3 linked regions of the Oryctolagus cuniculus genome follow. The protein of the gene in region 3 binds, or shares a complex with, the protein of the main gene of each other region. Links are inferred from orthologs where the notes say so. Each region holds a gene or a part of one and is shown on either strand. Other genes may lie near its edges. The genes, in order: CHTOP, THOC7 and THOC3.

Region 1 (7,356 bases), on a different chromosome or scaffold from region 3:
ATGGTTCAGGGTGGGGGTGGGAGGGAGTTATATTTAACTGCTGAATTTATGCACAGCCATGCAGCGCTACCAGTTAAAGTCCTTACAGTTGCATGGCACCGCCCTCCAGACGCCCAGCCACAGCTTGGACATATCCTTCCACAGCCACTGTCCGGACTTGCACATACAGTCTATGAATAATAAAGAGTAGGTTTTATTTCAGATCTGAAAACTATTATCCCTACTCGACATTTTTCTTTTCCCCCCATTTAAAGTTTATTCCTCATGTTTTTAAGCTCCCCGCCCCCCAATTTACTGGAAATTTGAAAAAGAATCCACTGACTCTTAGTTACTCAGTGTTCTAGCTCTACTTTACTGTTTATAATTTTAGGTGCTGTGGACATGAGGGTCACTCTGCTGTATCTTTTACCTTTGACTAGGGCCATTTAGATTTCCTGTGTGAGGGGCGAAAGAATAAAATTATTTCCCTAGTTTATCTATCATTTAGCAGTAAGTAAAGGATGTTTTAAAGATGATCCGAAACAGAAACAAACTTTCTTCATGGAAAAGGCCTTTCATCTACTTTAAGGCTAAAGGACCAGAAACAAAAGCAATTATTAGTCATTGATAACACAAATGGGTCAAACAGATGGCAAACTCCCTAGAAGAGAAGACAATAAAGAAAAAGTTACTTATCAGTACCTGCCAGAGCTGGAATTCTCTGCACTTCTCTTTCAGAGAAGTTCCAGCTTTTGCCCTGAGTCACCTTGGAATCATCCATCAGGTTCTGACAGCCTCAGTGGGCTGCCTGCCTTAGATCACAGCTGCTTCTGGAGCATCAAGACCCATTCTCTCACCTGCTTAAGTTTTAATGCTGCCTGGACAGAGGGTCTATTCTCCATCTGCTGGGCCAGTCTTCTGTTTCTGGCACTGGCTAGCTGCTGTTGTTGCTGCATCGAAGCCCGAATATTCACTGGCATCGGCTGTTTGTTCTTCAGCATATTAGTAAAGCTTCAAGGTCGAACAAAATGGATGTTTAAATAAAAGCTTTATTACAAAACATTTATTGGCATTTTCATGGCTTGCTAGACCAGGAGCTCCAGATCCCACGAACTTTTAAGTAAAGTGGCACACTTAGATCAAAGCTGAAGTGGGTTAAAGACTCCTCTGTTTCGACAAACTTGCAAGAATCAGAAACTCAGAAATGCAGCTAAGTGCAGCACATTCAATCCAAAGTGATAACAAGGGCTCAGGTAATGGCTCTCAGAGAAGTGGAAGGTATGAAAAACACGCAATAAGCAGATATGACAAGAGACAGAAGATGTAATTTCAAAGACAAACAAAGAAAGCTTAAACCTTGGAGGTTTTTGAAAAGAAATATGAGACCAGAACACCTTCAAAACCCATGACAACACCATAGCCATAGAAGTTATAGGAATGCCATCAATTTTTAAATATATTTGTCACTCAGTAACATGTGGATATGGAGGACTAGTGTATCTGAAGAGAGAAGTACATAGGCTCCAGAAAAGGCAAAAGGAGACATTGTAACCTTTTAGTGGTCCAACACTGGTTTAATAAAATCACTGCTCAAAGGTAACTCAGTGAGCAAAGTTCTCAGAGATAGAAACTGCCTTAAATACCTTAACTTTTCTTAGTGTCAAATGATCACTTTTTCTGTCTCCAAGCAGTTATCTTTGGAAATGATTAATTCAATCATTTAAGGGCCCATGAAGACACTCCTTTTTTGTTCTTGTCATGGTTAAGTTTAATGGAATGGAAGAGAAGAACACTTAACTGTAAAAGAATCCAAAGCAAAAACAAACTAAAAGCAGAATGGAAAGAAAAGTGAAATGGAGCAAAGCAAGTGCCTCTTACAAGGCCCAAGAATGACATTCGAGGGCCTTTGGACATAGTCACAGCTTGCTACCTGCCTCTTACAGGCCAGATGCAACACTGCTGGCCTTGGACTAGGCAGCAAGCCTACTGCAGCCAGGGTCCCATGCTCCCATGCTGCACAACCCCTGTATCAACGTGTTCAAAAACAAAAACAAAAACAAAAAAACTTGAAGAAAAGGGAGGGTGTGAGGAGTCTTTTTAAAATACATCCCACTGGATAAATATTTCAGACAGCTTAACATAAAAATCTACTGATAAGGGGTTTTGAAACAACCGCCCAATTTGTTTTGTGCACCACATTAGATGTAACTAAGAACAGAGGTCTGTAGCCTTCTGTTGATATTTAGCTTACAACTGTTTTGTGCATTGGACCCCAGGGCCAATTTAAGTAATGTTTTCTTAGGAAGGAGCTGAAGTTGTTGTTGGCTGCCTCACCGCTCATTCAGAGACATCTTGGTGGTGCTTTTTAGCACAACTTTCGGCGCTGACTGAGCAGCCATCTTCAGATCCCGAGAATCTACAAAGGACAACAGCAGAATGAGCAGGTCAGAATAACAGCCACCTTATACAGAACAAGGCCCAAACCACCGAAAAAGCCTTACCACTGACTCCTGAGGAACACGGGAGGGTACTTCAAAGTTCATGGGAAACGGAATTAAAAGGTAACTTTGCTTTGGTAAGAAATTTTTTAGAATCTATGCATGTAAGGGATCTATCCTGAAAAAGTTTCTGGAGGGGCAGGCATTGTGGTTCAGCTACTCCACCTCCAGAATAGCTCCCTGCAGGCCTGGGAGGCGGCAGGTGATGGCTGAAGTATCTGATCCCTGCCACCCGTTGGAAAACCGGATGGAGATCCTGGTTAATGGCTTCAGCCTGGCCCAGACCTGGCCTTTGTGGCCATCTGGAGAGTAAACCAGCAGATGGAAGATCTCTCTTTCATATACACAAATGCTTAAAAAAAAAGTTTATAGAAACGTATACTACAAAAGACTGCATAGAATGCAAAAATTATTTTGCACCAAAATGTCTTTCAATTCAATTTTCTATAAAATTTTAAAAAGCACCCTCAAATCGAAGCTCACTTCAAGTTTACATGAGAAATTATTCAATTTCAAGGCCAAAAGGCATGTAATATCTGCCAAATGGTCCAAAATGGCAGAAACAGCTCAAGAAGGTGCAAGAGAGTCTGGCTTTCGATCCAGACTCGTCCTTTTCAGCCTGTTTTTCCACAGGGGGCTTTCAAGAAACAGATGCCTGGGCTCAGACCGATCAAACCGCAATCTCTGATGGTGGAGGTCTGGGGCTCATCAATAGGGGCGTGGGGGGAGGGGTAGCTACCCAGGTGCTTCTAATGAGTAGCTGAGGTTGACAGCTGCCGGTTTAGAAAGAAAATACAGGCATGCCTAGTCTCAAAATCGGTTTCCTATTCCCAAGTCAGAACTTAACAACGGACTAAGGATCTGGAGAAAGGAACAGGAAAGGTTCCCTAAACGGGCATTCATCTGGGAGCTGGCTCCCAGGGAGCCCTCTACAGAACTTAACCCTAAGCACGCCACTGTTTCCAACACTAGTCTTCAAAGCCCTGTCAAGACCGCCAACTTTGCTCAACTCGTCCAACGATCTTTCTTTTCCTCGGTACCCAACGACAGCCTCCGTGAACCCCGCCGCGGGGTCGCGGCCGGCGCAGCCCCTCCCCCCTCCGCGGCCCCGCCCCCTCCCCCGCGGTCCCCGCAGCCCACCGCCCCCCATGCGCGTCCGCCGGCTCCTTCCGCTCCCCTTCTCTCACCACAGAGACGCACCGAAGGAAACGGACGCCAGTGCTCCTCCCGGGGCTGCCAGCACGGCTGCGGCAGGGCGGGCCGGGGACCGGCCGAACCTCAGTAATTGACGGTGGAGGGGCTCCGGTTAATTAGATGGGCGGTTGGGTCAGATGCTTAAGTGGTAGACTGCGAGGCTAGTCCGTGGCTGTTGGCTGGCTGTGTCGTTGGCCGACCCGCCTGATCGCCCGGCCTGCCCTTCCCTGCCTTCAGTCTGTGCCACCACAGCTGCCGCCGCCAACTCCCGCTCGCTCTCCAAAACAAAATGGCCGCCACGCCCAGTGCGGCATGGGACCGGCTAAAATGGCGCCGACGCAATTGCGTCAGACGTTGGATCCGCGCACTAGTAGGGGGCGGGGATTTGTCACGCCCTGCGCAGAGCTAGGGGGCGGAGCCCTGGGTGGGAAGGAGGGGCTTTAGAGTTACACAGATGGCTCCGCCCCCGGGGCGTGGCTAGTGGCTTCGCTATTCTAGCGGGTATTAACTGCTACCTCCTGGAGTTGTCAGCGGCCCTGCTCCCAAGAGAGGTTTTAGTCCCGTTAGGAAAGAGTTCGTGTTCCTTCGGGCCTTTCTCCCCACGCCCTTGGCTAAGGCATCATGTTTACAAATCTTAAAGCGGAACCTGCTTTGGTCTCTGGCAATGCCAGAGCCGGGTGATTGGCACTGGTGGCTTTCCCCCGCGCCCCTTCGCTGTTTGGGTCGTGAAGTGCTGCAAAGGCCAGGGCAAGCCAGTGCTGGGGGCACACCTCCTGCCATCCGCCGCAGCCTCCATTGCCCGTCCATGTTTTCCTCTTCCCTGACTTGGCTGTTTTTCAACTCTCCTCTGATCAGGTCCCGGATCCCCCTTCCCCTCCCCTCCCTGGGAATTTAGTGCAGACCTATGAAAGGATTTTCCTTATGGCCACACAATCACGTCCTCAAACGTTGGAGGAAAGAGAGAAAGCACACAGTGGGGGCTTCCTCTACCCTCGCTCTGGGCACTGAGTTGTATGTGTGCATTTTTAGTGGGCCTCTCTCCTTGCTGGACTTCACCCAGTGAGGGTGACCATGGTGTTTATTTTGCTCACTGCTGTATCCCCAGTTCCTGCACAAGGTAGGACCCCTGTAAATATCTGCTGAGGATTGAAAGGAGATTTTTCTGTTTTTACAGCTGGGAAGCAGACGTCTCCCCTTCCAGCTGGAACCTGGAACCCCACTGAGCATTAAGGCAGATGGAATGCACGTGACCTCCCTCCAAAATAAGTGGAGCGAAACCCCTCAGGGCTGCCCTTCCGGACCCACAGGAGACAGACACCAGACGGCTGGCAATAGAGGAGCCTTTAATGAGAGATGAGCTGCAGGGCGGGCCTGCTGCTTGGCGCCCTGGGTGTGTGGGGGAGTGTGAGGTGGTAGCCGGGTGTAGGGGCAGGTCTGGGGGGACGGAGCGGTAGGGCGCTGCCCTCTGGGGCTGTCTGCTCAACTGTTCTCCCAGAAGAAGTTGTTACAGGCCACTGTGAGAGCAGCCACCAGCACCACGTACTCCTGGAAGTCCACCTCCCCGTCTCCGTCCTCGTCCAGTTCCTTCATCACCTTGTCCACGGCATCTGCATCCTTCTGGGCCTGTGGAGGGGGGAGAGAGCGGGAGAGGTGTCCAGCACCGAGTCCAGGGCCAGAGGGTGGTGACGGAGAAGAACGGGGTGGAGATGAGCAAGCGGGAGAGCTACGGCTAACTGGGTCTCCTCGGCTGCCCTTCTCCAAACCCTTCAAACACTGGTGGGCTCCTGCTGCCCACAGAATGCATCCTTAACCTGGCAGAGTTAATGGTGTGTCAGTCTTTCCCTTCCAGACTGCGGAAGCCTTATTACCGATGAGTCTATGTAGGGCTTAGCACTTAACAGGTGATCTATAAACCAGGCGTTTTGACTTCACCCGGGCGTGGGGGAGCCTGGGAAAACCCAGAAGAGAAGCACGAGAGAGGAGAGAGATGGCTGGGCTGAGGTGAGGCGGGGTGGAGAGAGAGACCACAGGGAGGTGCCCACTCCCTTCACCCCTCGCCCACCCCGCCCCGGACGCCCACTCCATGCTCACGTCCAGGAAGCCGGAGAGCTCCGTCTGCAGCAGCTCCTTCAGTTCTTTCTTGCTCAGCTTGTACTTGTCCCCCTCCTTGCCCGAGTGGGCGTGGAACACATTGATGAGGGTCTCCATTGCCGTCTCCAGCTCAGAGCCCATTGTGGCAGTGCACCTACCCCCCAGGCCCCCCAGAGCGAGGCAGTGAGCTGGGGACCAGGTCTAGGGTGTCTGGGGTTTGGGTGAGGGAAGCCTTCAGGCCTGGCCTTGGTCCCACAGCTCAGAACAGCTGTGAGATTGGAGTCCTGTTGCCTCTTATCTTTCTCTGAACTTGTACCTTGCAGGGAGACCCTGACACCTAAATTATCAGACCTGTGCTCTGTAGCCGAGCCAGAGAGCCAGGTTGGGGCATAGAGACACAGCCGCTGGCGCTGGTGGGCTCCAGAGGCCTGCAGTGGACACTCGCAATGGCTCCTGGCCGCCTGGACAGAGGCTGCTGAGGGTGGGGCAGGCAGGATGGTCACAGGACCAGTCTGGCTTCCTCTGGCTCCGTTTTCTATTTTTACCCTGGACCTTGCCTGCTGAGTGCAGCTAAGCTCTTCTGTGGGGGGTGGTGGGCTGGGGTCTCCTCTAAAGCCTACTCTGCCACCACCCTTAGTGTTTGGTAGTCTCTTTGGTACTTGGGTGGTACCTGATGGCAGGAGTGGCAGCCGGCTCGGGGGCCCCCAGGCCTCTTGGGCAGGGAGTCTCACTGCTTCCCAGCCACCTGTCAGCAGCTGGGCCCCCTTTGGTCCTTCAGCTCATTCTCCTGAACAGAGTCCTTGGGGCTTCTCTGGGGCACACTTCCCACGATCTCCAGGCTGTTTCCTCTGACTTCTCTGTAAAACCATCCCACCTCGGGGATGGGCGATGGGATGGGAAGGGAAGGAGGAATGTGCAGGCCTTTGCCCAGGCTCCAGGGCTCCCAGGGAGGGGAAGAGGAGACCTGGAGGCCAGCCTGACTGATGGGGGGCAGTGGGGCAGGGGCTTGGCACTAGTATGTTGGGAGAGGGAACGGGCTGAGTGCATGAGGTCTTTTGAGTTCAGGAGGCCTGGGGGAGAGCAGGAGAGTGGAGGGGTCTGTTGGGGAGAGGAGGGTGCCAAGCCAGGTGGCCCAAGGGGCAGCTCAGATGTCTCAGCTCAAATGTCGCCATCCTTCCCTGGTCCTGGGGGACTGGACCATGAATGGGCCCTGATCAGATGACACCCCAGTTCCTCAATGGGGCCCTTGTGAGTGTCACCTGAACTCTGGACATGAGAAGTGGTTGTCACAGAGACACAGGGGAGATGGAACCCAAGCCGGGGCTGATGGAGGGGATAAAAGGGTGCCCCAGGGAGGGAGGCCGCTGGCTCAGTTACCAGCGCCATCCAGGAGGGGCCTAGGATTTTATGTGGGGGTGGTTCTGAGAGGGCCTCAGGTCAGGGCAGATGGGAAAACTTGAGAGGAAAGAAATGGGGGGAAAGAGGCTGAGAAAGGGAAGGGAGGGGGGTCATGGTACCCGAGGACCTCTCTTCCTGATGTCACATGGGCTGTGCTCTGCCACCTCCAGACCTCCCTGGGCTTTGAGCTGGCAAG
Region 2 (6,720 bases), on a different chromosome or scaffold from region 3:
CAACCCTGAACTGCGAGCCTCCAAAACCGGGAGCCAAGATAAACTTCCTTCCTTTATAAGCAGCTTGTCTTGGGTATCTTGTTATAGTAATACAACACTGACTAACAGAGACCCATAGGCAGCGAGGCTGGAGGAAGAAAACTTCAATCGAGCACTATCAGAATCTGTGATACTGAAGATCGAACCTTCCTTTTGAAATGCAGATGTATATCTAAGAGGAAATGCATAGGCTAGCACTCGGAGATTTCTGTATAAACATCGTTGCCTTTCAAGGTAAAGCGCTAAACTTACTTTAATGTCTCATGCCTGTCTGGATGGTGCTGGATCACTTTTGCCAAAGCATCATATTCTGAAAGACATAAAAATATTTACCAAACTAAGGTATTTTGAATCTGTATTATGAAAACAAAACAGATAATACCACAAGTCTCCCCTAAATGTTTCCCTAATACCTAAAGAGAGGAAAAAATTGAGAGATGGAAAGAGTATTGCCAGAATTGGAAAAAATAAAGAGTATTGACAAAATGCATTCAACCATAACTGGAATGACATGTAACCATCGAACATGTTCCAAACAGGATTTAAACTCCTAATTCTGTTTTTAATTTCTATTTTCTAGAAGGAATATAAGAGGTCAGCATATGCATAAATGATCAGCGAATCGTCAAGCGGGCTGATTCTATATGCACTATCTACCCAGAAGAGGAATGATGGAGGAGGGAGGAGTATGAGGAGGAGGATGAAGAGGAAGAAGAAGGAGAAGGAGAAGGAGGAGGGGGAGAGAAGTGGAGGAGGCGGAGGAAGGAAGTGGGGGTCGGAACACCAGGGAGAGTAAGAGGAGGAGGGGAACGAGGAGGGGAAGGAGAGACGGAGGAGGACAAATATAACAATACAGTGAGGTAAATATTTCCCAACATTAACTTAGTCAACAGCAAATATACTTCTCATTCATTTTGATTTCAGAAGCTAAGAAATAATTTAAAATTCAGGCCCTTGTTTCTGCTTCACTAAGGCCTCCAGGGTAAGTCATGTAGTTCCTGGTAATCTTTCTTTCGAAAGAAGAAATGGAGGATCCTCTTAGAATCCTTATTAACCAAAAAACAAAAACAAAAACAAAACAAAACAAAACCACTTCCTGAATATATTTTTAAATGATTTTAGAATTGATATTATTAAATACATATATCTCATAGTAAACTGGCCATTGAAATGTCATCATATACATTTTAGACTCACAAAACCTAACTTTTAAAAAGAAAAAATTATCCTGATTAGTTCATTAAAAAATAAAGTTCATTGTGTTGGAACTCAGCATACTAATTCAATAAAGTGAGGCTTTTTATTTAATTTTTTTTTTTACTTACAAAATAATATAGGGTCAGTGTAAAATAAAACAAAACAAAAATGAAAAGAACTTAAGGCATAAAAACACCTCCCCAAATTAATGAATAATATTCTAATTTCCTTCTAGTTTCCATATGTATGTCATAGATGTAATTATACATTTTATCTTTATTTTTTCCAATATACATTATAGAAAGAGCAATGCCGTATCATTAAAATTATTTTCAAATATCTTTTATAAACTCTAAGGACATACTCCAATTTAAAAAAAAAAACAAAATTAGAAAAAGATTACATTTAATTTTCTTATAAATATTAAAAGCCTGTAAATGCTTGCAGTGTACTTAATAAAAACTTATTGTATCTTACTTTCCTTTTTTTTTTTTAAAGATTTATTTGAAAAGCAGAATGACAGAGAGAAAGAGATCTTCTGTCCACTGGTTCACTCCCCAGATGTAGAGCTGGGCCAGGCTGAAGCGCAGAGCCAGAAACTCCATCCTAGTCTCCCAGGTGGTGGCACGGGCCCAAGTATGTGGACCATCATTAGCTGCCTTCCCAGGTACAAATTAGCAGGAAGCTGGATTGGAATCGGATGCATCCGGGACTTGATCCAGTGCTATCGTAAACATCCCGTATCATAAACAGATTTTTAACTCACTGTACCACAATGCTGGCCCCTCATTTTTTTTAAAAGTTGCTTCATTAAGTAAATAAAATTGTGACACAGCAGTTTAGGCTGCTTGGGATACCTGCATCCCCTACCTGAGCACTGGTCTGGGTCCCAGTGCTCTGCTTCTGGTCCAGTCATCCACTAATGTGCTTGAAAGGCAGCAGATGACGGCTCCAGAGTTTGTGCCCCTGCCACCCACGTGGGAGGTTTGATGGCCTGGCCCAGCCCTTCTGCTGCTTCCATTTCAGGGCCGAACCAGCAGACAGAAGATTTCTCTTTTCCCCTGTCACTCTTACAAATAAATTTTAAAAGTAATAATAATAAAAAAACCCTCTAAATCTATTGTACTGATGTAAATCACCTTCATTGATTAACCATAACATTATTTCAGCAAAGAGGTATGAAAACAGTAAAAATACTTAAGGCATACTTGGACAATTAACACAAATTCAGTAATAACTTTCTTTAATCAAAGACTTCCTTCTCCATATTAAAGAATAATACTGTATTAAAGGACTGAATTCCTAATTTCTTTTTATACTTTAGCTGCAGATTTTACAATATTAAAAACTGTACAACATATTAGTCATTAATAAAGTATGTGCACAATAAATCCCTCAAAACCCTTACCTTGGCGATTTTTTCGTATTCGTTTTGCTTGAAGAATCTGTTTTTTGCACTCAGCAATTTTTTCATGTGCTCCAGCAATGCTACATTCTATACAAAATGGTTTTATAACATAGTTATAAAAGCATGTATAATTTCAATCCATTTTCAATTTTAAAATGTGCTTCTACATAAGTTCCACTGCTAATAGAACACACACCGGCATTTAAAATAATAGCTAAACCTAAAATATGGTATCATTTTAGAATACAGCTTTTTGTAGCTAACACTTACGGTATTATTTTTATTAATATGATAATGATAATTATTCTTTTACCATCAATCAAAACAGTTATTGCAAATAGTGTTTTCTTTAGGTCATAAAACACATTTACAAAGAAATAATAATCACTTCAACTTTCCTTACCTATTTCTTTATAAATTTTTTCATAATTTTCCATTTCTCTGAGATTCATATCATATACCAGTAATGTTTTGCCCATTGAAAATTCACATTGCGACAGTGTGCTCAGCATACGTTGGTATTGGCTGTATCTAATGAAAAACAGAGAGACAGGACAAAGAGGTTTTTGAATTGCCAAAACTGCAGGCAAAGACTTGTTAATGAAATTAGACCAAGTTCTGAGAAAATTATTTATTTTATTTAAAATAATTTAGAGTATCTGTTCCTTTTTTTTTCTTTTTTTTAAGATTTATTTAGTTACTTGAATGGCAGAGTTACAGAGAGAGGGTAACAGAGAGAAATCTTTGATCTGCTATTTCATTCCCCAAATGGCCACAATCGCCAGGCCAAAGCCAGAAGTCCTGAACTCCATATGAGTGTCCCAGATGGGTGGCAGGGACCCAGGTAGTTGGGCCATCTTTTGCTGCTTTCCCGGGTGCATTAGGAGGAAGCCGGATCAGATGTGGAGCAGCCAGGACTTGAACTGGCACTCATATGGGATATTACAGGCATCAGGTTAACCAACTGCACCCTGAGTTCCTGCTCCTTATGTTTTTATTTTCCTAATAGTACTCGAATTTATAAGTTGGTTTGGTTACAAATGCCAAGATGAAAATGTTGATCTTATCAATACAGGCTTATTTCAAACAACTATTTGCATGGCTGGCCTTGTGGCATAGCAGGTAAAGCTGCCATTTACGATGCTGATGTTCCATATGGGTAATGGTTTGAGTCGTGGCTGCTCTACTTCTGATCCAGTTCCTTGATAATGCATCTGGGAAAACCGAGGATGATGGCCCAACTGCTACGGTGTCTATACCCATGTGAGAGAACAGGATGGAGTTCCTGGCTCCTAGTTTTGGCCTGGCCCAACCCTAACTATTACAGCAATTCAGGGAGTGAACCAGCAGATGAAAAATCTCTCTGTCTCTTACTCTGTACCTCTGCCTTTCAAATAAATGAATGAAATCTTTAAAAATAAGCAAAAATACTTTAGAAAATATATTAATTATTGAATTCAAAGAAGGAAAATTTTTCTATGCTAAAAAAGACTACATATATTCTATATTTTAATATATGTTAATATATACATTCTATGGCAACTTTCTGTTAATGATAAGAAAATTTCATTTATTTTGTCTTGCTAAATACTTAACTGTTAAAAGTGACCAAATTAATGAGCCTAAGTTTAATTTTCTTCTTACCAATTTGCCTTCTGCATGTTTTAATAAATATACAGGTGGCAGAGGCAGTTGCTGTGGAGCAGGGTTAGACACCAGCACCCCACCCTGGAGTGCCGGTTCAAGTCCTGGCTCCTCCATTTCCAATCTAGCTTCCTGCTAATGCACTTGGGAAGACAGTAGATGATGACTTGAGCCCCTGCTTCCTCCTGGCTTCAGCCTGGCCCTACACTAGCTGTAGGGGGCATTTGGGGAGTGAACCAGCAGATAAAGATAAATAAATAAGCATTAAAAAATAATATAAAGGAGGACTATGAAGAGAAGGCCAGAAAAATCCACTCTTGAGTAAACAAAATTTGACTCAAGTGGACATCTAAGGTGAGTGAAAATGTGAAATATTAACAATACCTTAACAAAATCACATCAGAACATTGGCAGAGAAACAACAATGAATTGAAATACCCCTCTTCCTGAGATCCAGAGTTGCACCACTTAATGAAACTCTTCACCAGCAGATTAATTCTCCGGTCATCTCCTGCTCCATCTCCATCAATGAGGAGACGCTTCCGTATGACTTCGTCTGGGGGAAAGAAGGCCAGTATGAATCAGTGACCATCTGGCTCCTCGGGACTTTCAAGGGGCAACCAATGTCATGACTCATATTCACTCAAAAGTCAATCACTGAAATATAAATGTACTTAAAGCCACTGAACTGTACATTTAAAAATAAAAATGGTAGGGCCAGTCTTGTGGCACAGTGGGTAAAGCTGCTCTCTGTGACAACGGCATCCTATATGCATGCCAGTTTGTGTCCTGGCTGCTCCACTTTCAATCCAGCTCCCTGCTAATGGCCTGGGAAAAGCATCAGAGGATGGCCTAGGTGTTTGGGCCACGTGCCATCCACGTGGGAGACCCTGTCTTTCTCTCTTTAAACACTGCCTTCCTTTTGCCCCAAGGAAAAGAAAAAGCAAAAAAGGAATAGAAAGGCAGTGCAAATGATAATGACTAGTAACAAGCAGGGCCCCAATCTGCCTGCCTGGCAGCCCTGAGCCACTAATCTTGCCTGAACAAAATAATACTGGGTTATAACAAGAGAAAGGCAAACCGATTCCAAGGTAAGATACCATTTTTTAATCTTATCATGTTGGCAAGGATCAAAGACCTGATAGCAAGAGTGCTAACAAGGGTGTTTGGAAACTGCACTTACATATGCTAATGGAATGCAAACTGGTACACTCATCCGGGGTCACTGGACAATAACAGGCAAAATTAAAGTGCACACGCATTCCTGACTCCGTAATTCCAATTCTAGGAAGTCATCCTCTAGACATAAGCGTACTCGGCACAGACAGATAAAAGGGATGTTTTAACAGTGCTGTTTGTAGTAAAAAGACTGCAAACCTCCACACTCACCAGTTAAGAGACTGGTTAAAATTATGAATCCTTCATATACTCCAAGAGTGTGTAATGAAAAGTACAGACATATACTGACACCAGAAAAAAAAAATCCCCTTAAATATGTTACAATGAAAACAAAACAGGTGCAAGTACGCCACCACACTTGCAGAAAAGGGGTTGGCACTGCATGGCGTGCGTGACTACACCTGCATGTGTGTATTCAGAGAATATCTCTGGAATGATCCTCAAAAGCCTGGTTTCAGAGGTTCTTTCTAATGAGAGGGAAGACAAAAAGAAGTGAGAAAAGACAAAATTTTCTGAAATGCGTTTGTAGTCGCTGGTTGTCTTTTTGTTTTTGTTTTTCTTTTTGAACCATAGGCATGCACAGTTTCAAAAAATACATTAAGTGTGAACAATTCCTGGAGAGCCTACATGATGAATCAACAGCAAAATCTTTAAACAACAGTTCCTGTGTGTAGGCAGAAGTATTTTTGAGCGCAGGTGCAATAGAGAGAAACTTTGGAAGGCAGATGGTTCCAGTTTTAAAATATATTCTGTGATAACATCAGATATACATTTTTAGAGCTGGGTTTGGTTGTCAGAGTCAAGGCTTTGGAAGATTGCTGACGCTAGATTCATCAGGTGTTTACAGTTTACATTTTAATAACACAGATGAATGCTTTTTGGATTTAAATCACCAATGTTTTTTGGAGAAACTGACACATAAAACAGAGCTTGATAAGATAAAAATGCACAAAATGAACTGGTTTTAGTTTTGCTGTCTGTACTACAAATGTCTTAAGTTATTAAAATAAAAGGAAACATCCATTGGTTGAGGTAATCCGGTGGCACTGGTGCACTTCAATAATTCCTTTGTTGGTCTTTTTCTGCCTTTTTTTCAAGTCTCCTCAAACCCAATGTTCTTTCCAGATTCTAGGGCCTCCTGCTTTATGCATTCAAAACACAGAGACGAGTGGGCATTTAACTTAGCAGTTCCGACAACTGCATCTAATTTTGGAGCCACATCAAGTTCTGACTCAGGTTCCTGACTCCAGCCT
Region 3 (6,232 bases):
TTCTAGTTCTGATTAACTTTTTATCAGGGTTACAATCAACACAGTAAAATGCTTACACTTTGGTTTGGTATTAACATAAAAATACAGGGGTCGGAGCCATGGTGCTGCCTGTGATGCTAGCATCACATATGAGCACTGGTTTGAGTCCAGGCTGTTCCATTTCCAATCAGCTCCTTACTAATGTACCTGGGAAATGCAGTGGAAGATGGCCCAAGTACTTGGGATCCCTGCCCTGGCACCCGGGAGATCCGGAAGAAGCTCCTGGCTCCTGGCTTTGGCCTGGTCCAGCCCTGGCCATTGCAGCCATTCGGGGAGTGAACCAGCAGTAGGCAGAAGATCTCTCTCTCTCCCTCTCCCTGTCACTCTGCCTTTCAAATAAATATATTTTTAAAAAAATATATACACGGCCGGCGCCGCGGCTCACTAGGCTAATCCTCCATCTTGCGGCGCTGGCACACCGGATTCTAGTCCCGGTCAGGGCGCCGGATTCTGTCCCGGTTGCCCCTCTTCCAGGCCAGCTCTCTGCTGTGGCCAGGGAGTGCAGTGGAGGATGGCCCAAGTGCTTGGGCCCTGCACCCCATGGGAGACCAGGAGAAGTACCTGGCTCCTGTCATCGGATCAGCACGGTGCGTGGGCTGTAGCACACCGGCCGCGGCGGCCATTGGAGGGTGAACCAACAGCAAAGGAAGACCTCTCTCTCTCTCTCTCACTGTCCACTCTGCCTGTCAAAAAAAAAACAAAAAAACATAAATAAATAAATAAATAAATAAAGGCAGCACACATGAAACAGTATACTTCAAACTGATCAACTCTATGGTAGGCAGATTACATCTCAATAAAGCTATTAAATATATATCTATATTCATTTGTGGGTATTTAGACATATATAAATACATAACACACTTTACAGAACTCTGCTCCGGGGACAGGTCACGTTTTCCCTAGCAGAAATTCTCCACAATGCCAGCATCTGGCTGTCTGCAGCTTTGTCTGAACAAACGTCTGACTCACACAGACATAAAGAGTGCTTCTGCGGCTGCTACATCTCTTTTATTTCTCTTGAGACCTTTAACTCCATGTCCTTTGTTATCGGATTGGCTAAAATAAAGAAGTCTGTGCAGTTCAAAAAAACCAAACCAGACTTGAAGAGGCCTTCTAAAATGTTTCCCAAGTAACCACGTGGCTTCACACGCGTAAGCACCTTGATAAGGTATCAGAGCTTCATCTCTGAATTACAGTGCTCTTACTATTACTATCACATTTCTATTTCAGACCACCGAAGTCTAGACAAACAGATGCAGAGTTATGGTATGTCTCAAATGCTAAAATAGCTGGATTATTTTAAAATGAGCTTCTGGTAAATATGATATCAGGAATAAAATGAATTTTTCTTGGTTTTAAATTGAACCATTAAAAATATGCCTGTAAACTCTTAGATGCAAAATTGTGTCTCACGACTCCAACAGCAAAAAATACAAATAGAGAGGGAAAAAGAGGCCCTAAAAGGGTACAGTGTTTGGCCTCACAATTCAGGTGTAGCTTAGGATGCCACAGCCCATATGAAAGCCTGGGTTAGCATCTTGGCTCCATTCCTAATGCCAGCTTCCTGCTAAAGCACACCCAAGCAAATAATGGCTCAAGTGACTGGGTCCCTGCCAAGCACAAGGGAGATGTAAACTGAGTTCCAGACTCCAAGCTCCAGGCTTCAGCCTAGGCCAGCCCCAGCCTCTGCAAACATTTGGGAAATGAACCAGCAAATGTGAGCTCTGTCTGTTTCTGTCTCTCTGGCTCTCAAAAAAATAAGTACAAGGTGGAAACATGGTGTAGCACTTACGATACCACTTGAGATGCCCAGATCACATACTGGCGGGCCTGGGTTCCAGTCCCAGATCTGCTTCTGAGTCCAGCTTCCTGCTAACATGCACCCTGGGAAGGCCCAAGTAGTTGGATTCCTGCCATCTGGGTTGTGGGAGACCCAGAGTCCCTGTCTCCTCACTTTGGCCTAGTCCAAGCCCAGCTATTGTGAGCATTTGGGGAGATGGAAGATCTCTGTCTGTCTCTCAAAAATAAGTAAATAAGCAAGCAAGCAAGATGCCTTTTTTTTAAAGAAGAAAAATACCTGAAGAAAATATATCATAATATCAGCAATGATTATTTCCTAATTACAGACCTATGAGTGACGGCTAATTTCTTTTCTGTATTTCCAGCATTTTCCAACTACTCTATAATGAGCACCTATCACTCTTAATTCGCAAATATATGCCTACTGCATAAAAGTCAGGGTTCCAGGGTATGAAAGCAGTGCTCCACAACAGAAATCGCAATGGAACCTACTTGGACAGTTCCATCTGTCCAACACTGCAGCCCCTGACCACGTGTGCTTCCTGTGTCCTCGAAATGTGCCCAGGCTAATGAAGGAACTCAACCTTTCATTTTGTTTACTCAGTTTCAGTAATAATATTTAAATGAACAATTTACAATTGACCCTTTTCCCTATTGCAATCTTCTCTCAACTTTCTAAGAACAATATAAATTCTTCCAAAAGTTGTTCTGTCGATTCAACTTTAGCTCTTTACCTGCACAGGAACACAACTCAAGCACAGCCCGGCCAACCTGCTTTGCTCAGTCAGCAACACGACTTGCAGGTCTGCCACTTCAGCACATACACAGCTAGGTGCACCGTGATACGACTGTGTCACAACCCAATTATTCCCTTCACAGGGAAAATTTAGACCGCTTCCCATGTACCGTTACTATAATGTAAAGAATATAATTGTGTTTTCCTTCAGTAATTGTTTTGCTTTTAAGTTTTAACCTGGGTTACAGAGAAAATTTTTTAAATGTTAGAAAGTAGTTTGCTATTGCTTCTCGGCCTTTTGGCTAAGATCAAGTGTAAAAGGCATTTTGCTGAACTAGTTAGAAAAAGTAATACAGCTGCATCTGATATATATTCCTGAAAGGGTGCGTGTGAATGAAATCATGCATTACCCCTACCAGGTAAAAGAAACTCACACAGCGGTGGAAGCACACACACATCCCTGCACGCCTCTAAGACCACACTGAAACCACCTTTGTGCATGGCAGACTGGACCTCCACAAAACGTGAGCACCAAGGATGCAGCAACCCAGCCCGGCGCTCAGAAGGCAGCTCCCACGTGCAACATGAAGCACGGGACGGACGGGACGGATGTGACCGATGCTCCTCCCCTCATCACTGACAGCAGCGCAAGGGCCAGAGGCCACCAGACAGGAAGAGTTAAGCAAATTCTGGTACAATGGAGTTCGACACCCTGTTCAAAGTGACCAGGTGGAATTCAGGTGCCACCGCCTTGGGCAGAAGCTGACGCCCTGCCGGGAGCCAGGCGGACAGCAGGTCCCAGCGCAGCAGCAGAGTGCCTCTGACTGCACCGTGCAGATGCAGGGCGGCAGAGAGGCCCTGCCCGGCCACCGCGCTCCCAGCGTGGTAACGGCAGCATCACTGCAGCCCTCTCTACACGGTGGAATTTCAAGTGCTTTACTTTCTTCTTGGAAGTTTCCTCTACAGTTCTGAACTGTCACTTGTCTCTAAAAACAATACAGCCACATTTAAACACAAATTGAAAGGGAATCATTTTGTAAAATGAATACTCTTCTTATTTCCCTATCTTTAACAGGTTTTGTTGTTTTTCAAACAAAAACTTTGGTAATTCCTGAAATTATCTTTAAAAAGGCTTTCTTTTTTAACCTTCCATGTAAACACAGAGAGAAACATACCCGATGTTTTAAAGGGGTGTATTTAGATGGTGGGACACAGGGCATGCTTTCTTCTTCCTCCTATTTTCTGAATTCTAAAAACTGCATCATAATGGAAGAATTAAAAGCTGATACAATGTGAAATATTTTCCTAAATCACTCTCCTTCAGACCTGTTTCTTTCCGAACCCTCTGCTCTCTCATGGCCTGGCGGTGGCAGTCCTAACATACAGACTGATCTTAAGAGACAAATTCAGAGCTGGTAATGCCAGAGAAGCAGTGATATGCAGAGCCAGGAGAAGTCCTGACGGTCAGGGATGAGACACAGCGTGCCTGCTGCATTACCTGTCTCTACTTCAGCGATGTCGATAAAATGATCTTCCGATGCAGACGCCAGCATTTTCCCATCGTGACTGAAACTGAGAGTCCTCACGGGCCAATCCAGCCTACAGCACAGGGCAGACAGACAGACAGCAGAATCACCCACCAAGAGGAGGCTACACTCCCACCCAGGATGAAATCGGCTAATTCACCCAGCCAGGGAAGTGCTGGCAGAATCGCTTACCGGGAAAAGCACCGGACACACACTAACTCGTCCACATCCCACAGGCTGACCAAAGCGTCTGCACTCCCTGTAGCGAAGTACTTCCCCATGGGGTCAAACTTGATGCAGATGCAGTTGGAGGGATGGGCATTGATGGACTGCACAGGCTTCAGCTCCGGGTAGCTGAGGAACAAAACACGCAGCAGTCACACTGCAGAAGGGCACTGCGGCTCTAAGACAGCAACAGGAAACACGGAGGCGGAGCGGCAACCGAGGGAACTGAATAGTTCCAGAAGCTGTAACTCAAGAAAGAAAGCTTTCCAGAACTACAAGGATTCAAACCACATACTGGACGAGCACAAGGCCTCCCTGAGAATGTGAATCCAGCCCCTCTCACAGCAAGATAGACTAGAAAAATTACCTGCCTTCAAAGAAAGAGAATACTAGAATATCATCCGACTTTTTGACAGCAACATTTTATGTCAAAAGAAAACGGACCAACAGAAGCAAGAAAGTATGAGTTGCATTTCTCTATCCACCAAGACTACCACATATAAATACAAGAAGCACACTAAAGCACCCGTATGTTTTGAGAGGTGGAGAGAGACAGAGAGGGAACAGGCACTCCCATCCCCTGGGCTCCCTCCCCAAACACCCTCAATGGCTGAGTCTAAGAACCAAGAACTCAGTTCAGGTTGCCCATGCCACTGTCAGGAACCCAACTATTTGAGCAATATAACCTGCTGTCTCCTGAGGTGCACCTTAGCAAGAAGCTGGGATCAAGAGTGGAGTCAGGGGGCCGGCACTGTGGCGTAGCGGGTAAAGCTGCCACCTGTGGTGCCGGCATCCCATATGGGCGCCAGTTTTGAGTCCTGGCTGCTCCACTTCCCATCCAGCTCTCTGCGATGGCCTGGGTCCTTGGGCCCCTGCACCCACACGGGAGACCCAGAAGAAGCTCCTGGCTCCTGGCTTCGGATCGGCGCAGCTCCAGCTATTGCATCTGAGAAGTGAACCAGCAGATGGAAGACCCCCCCCTCCGCCTCTCAAATAAATAAATATTTTTTTAAAAAAAGGGTGGCGTCAGGACTTGAACCCAGGCTCTCCGATACTGTATATGGGTGTCTTAACCAGTTTCCACTGGGCCAAATGCCCACCCTCTTATCCTTCTGATAAATGTACTCCTTTACATGGAAAGCAAAGACACTCTGGCAAAAAAAAAAAAAAAAAAAAAAAAAAAAAAAAAAAAATGACCTAAGTGAAAGATCTCCGCGAGTGAGATCCCAGTGGAAAGAACGGGCCATCGAAGAAGGAGGTATCTTTCTCTGAAGGGAGGAGAGAAATTCCACTTTGACTATGACCTTGTCTAAATAAGATCGGAGTTTGTGAACTCAAGAGGCTTCCATAGCCTTGGCAGCTCAAGACAAGAGCCTAGGGTGATTACTGATGCCATAAACAAGAGTGTCAATTGTTAAATCAACAATGGGCGTCACTGTGCACCTGCTCCCCATGTAGGATCTCTGTCCTTAATGTGCTGTACATTATGATTTAATGCTATAACTAGTACTCAAACAGTATTTTTCACTTTGTGTTTCTGTGTGGGTGCAAACTGTTGAAATCTTTAGTTAGTATATACTAAACTGATCTTCTGTATATAAAGAGAATTGAAAATGAATCTTGATGTGAATGGAAGGGGAGAGGGAGCGGGAGATGGGAAGGAAGTTATGGCGGGGGGGGGGAAGCCATTGTAATCCATAAGCTGTACTTTGGAAATTATATTCGTTAAATAAAAGTTTAAAAAGTACTCCTTAAAAAAAAAAAAAAAAAAAAGCACAGATTTATTTAATTTATTTGAAAAGCAGAGTTACAGAGTGAGGGAGAGAGAGAGAGAGGGATCTTCCACCCACTGGTTCACTCCCCAAATGGCTATAACAACCAGGGCTGGGCCAGGCCAAAGCCA

The links.
Region 1: THOC3 (region 3) and CHTOP share a complex: the UniProt entries of both Homo sapiens proteins name them as parts of the transcription/export (TREX) complex. The link is inferred for Oryctolagus cuniculus from reciprocal best matches to the Homo sapiens genes THOC3 and CHTOP.
Region 2: THOC3 (region 3) and THOC7 share a complex: the UniProt entries of both Homo sapiens proteins name them as parts of the transcription/export (TREX) complex. The link is inferred for Oryctolagus cuniculus from reciprocal best matches to the Homo sapiens genes THOC3 and THOC7.

The regions. Positions count from the first base shown.
Region 1 is NC_091438.1:44,671,095-44,678,450, forward strand, and holds the start of CHTOP (chromatin target of PRMT1 protein), read right to left. Parts: upstream 3,981-7,356; 5' UTR 3,678-3,980; exon of another isoform or gene 3,665-3,677; intron 2,396-3,664; 5' UTR 2,379-2,395; coding exon 2,314-2,378; intron 991-2,313; coding exon 837-990; intron 1-836. Other genes in the region: S100A1 (protein S100-A1), read right to left, coding at 5,151-5,294, 5,763-5,903. UniProt on the Homo sapiens protein: Plays an important role in the ligand-dependent activation of estrogen receptor target genes. May play a role in the silencing of fetal globin genes.
Region 2 is NC_091441.1:85,862,294-85,869,013, reverse strand, and holds part of THOC7 (THO complex subunit 7), read right to left. Parts: intron 5,935-6,720; exon of another isoform or gene 4,845-5,934; coding exon 4,727-4,844; intron 3,176-4,726; coding exon 3,048-3,175; intron 2,732-3,047; coding exon 2,645-2,731; intron 350-2,644; coding exon 292-349; intron 1-291. UniProt on the Homo sapiens protein: Component of the THO subcomplex of the TREX complex which is thought to couple mRNA transcription, processing and nuclear export, and which specifically associates with spliced mRNA and not with unspliced pre-mRNA.
Region 3 is NC_091437.1:62,177,052-62,183,283, forward strand, and holds part of THOC3 (THO complex subunit 3), read right to left. Parts: intron 4,459-6,232; coding exon 4,297-4,458; intron 4,178-4,296; coding exon 4,077-4,177; intron 1-4,076. UniProt on the Homo sapiens protein: Component of the THO subcomplex of the TREX complex which is thought to couple mRNA transcription, processing and nuclear export, and which specifically associates with spliced mRNA and not with unspliced pre-mRNA.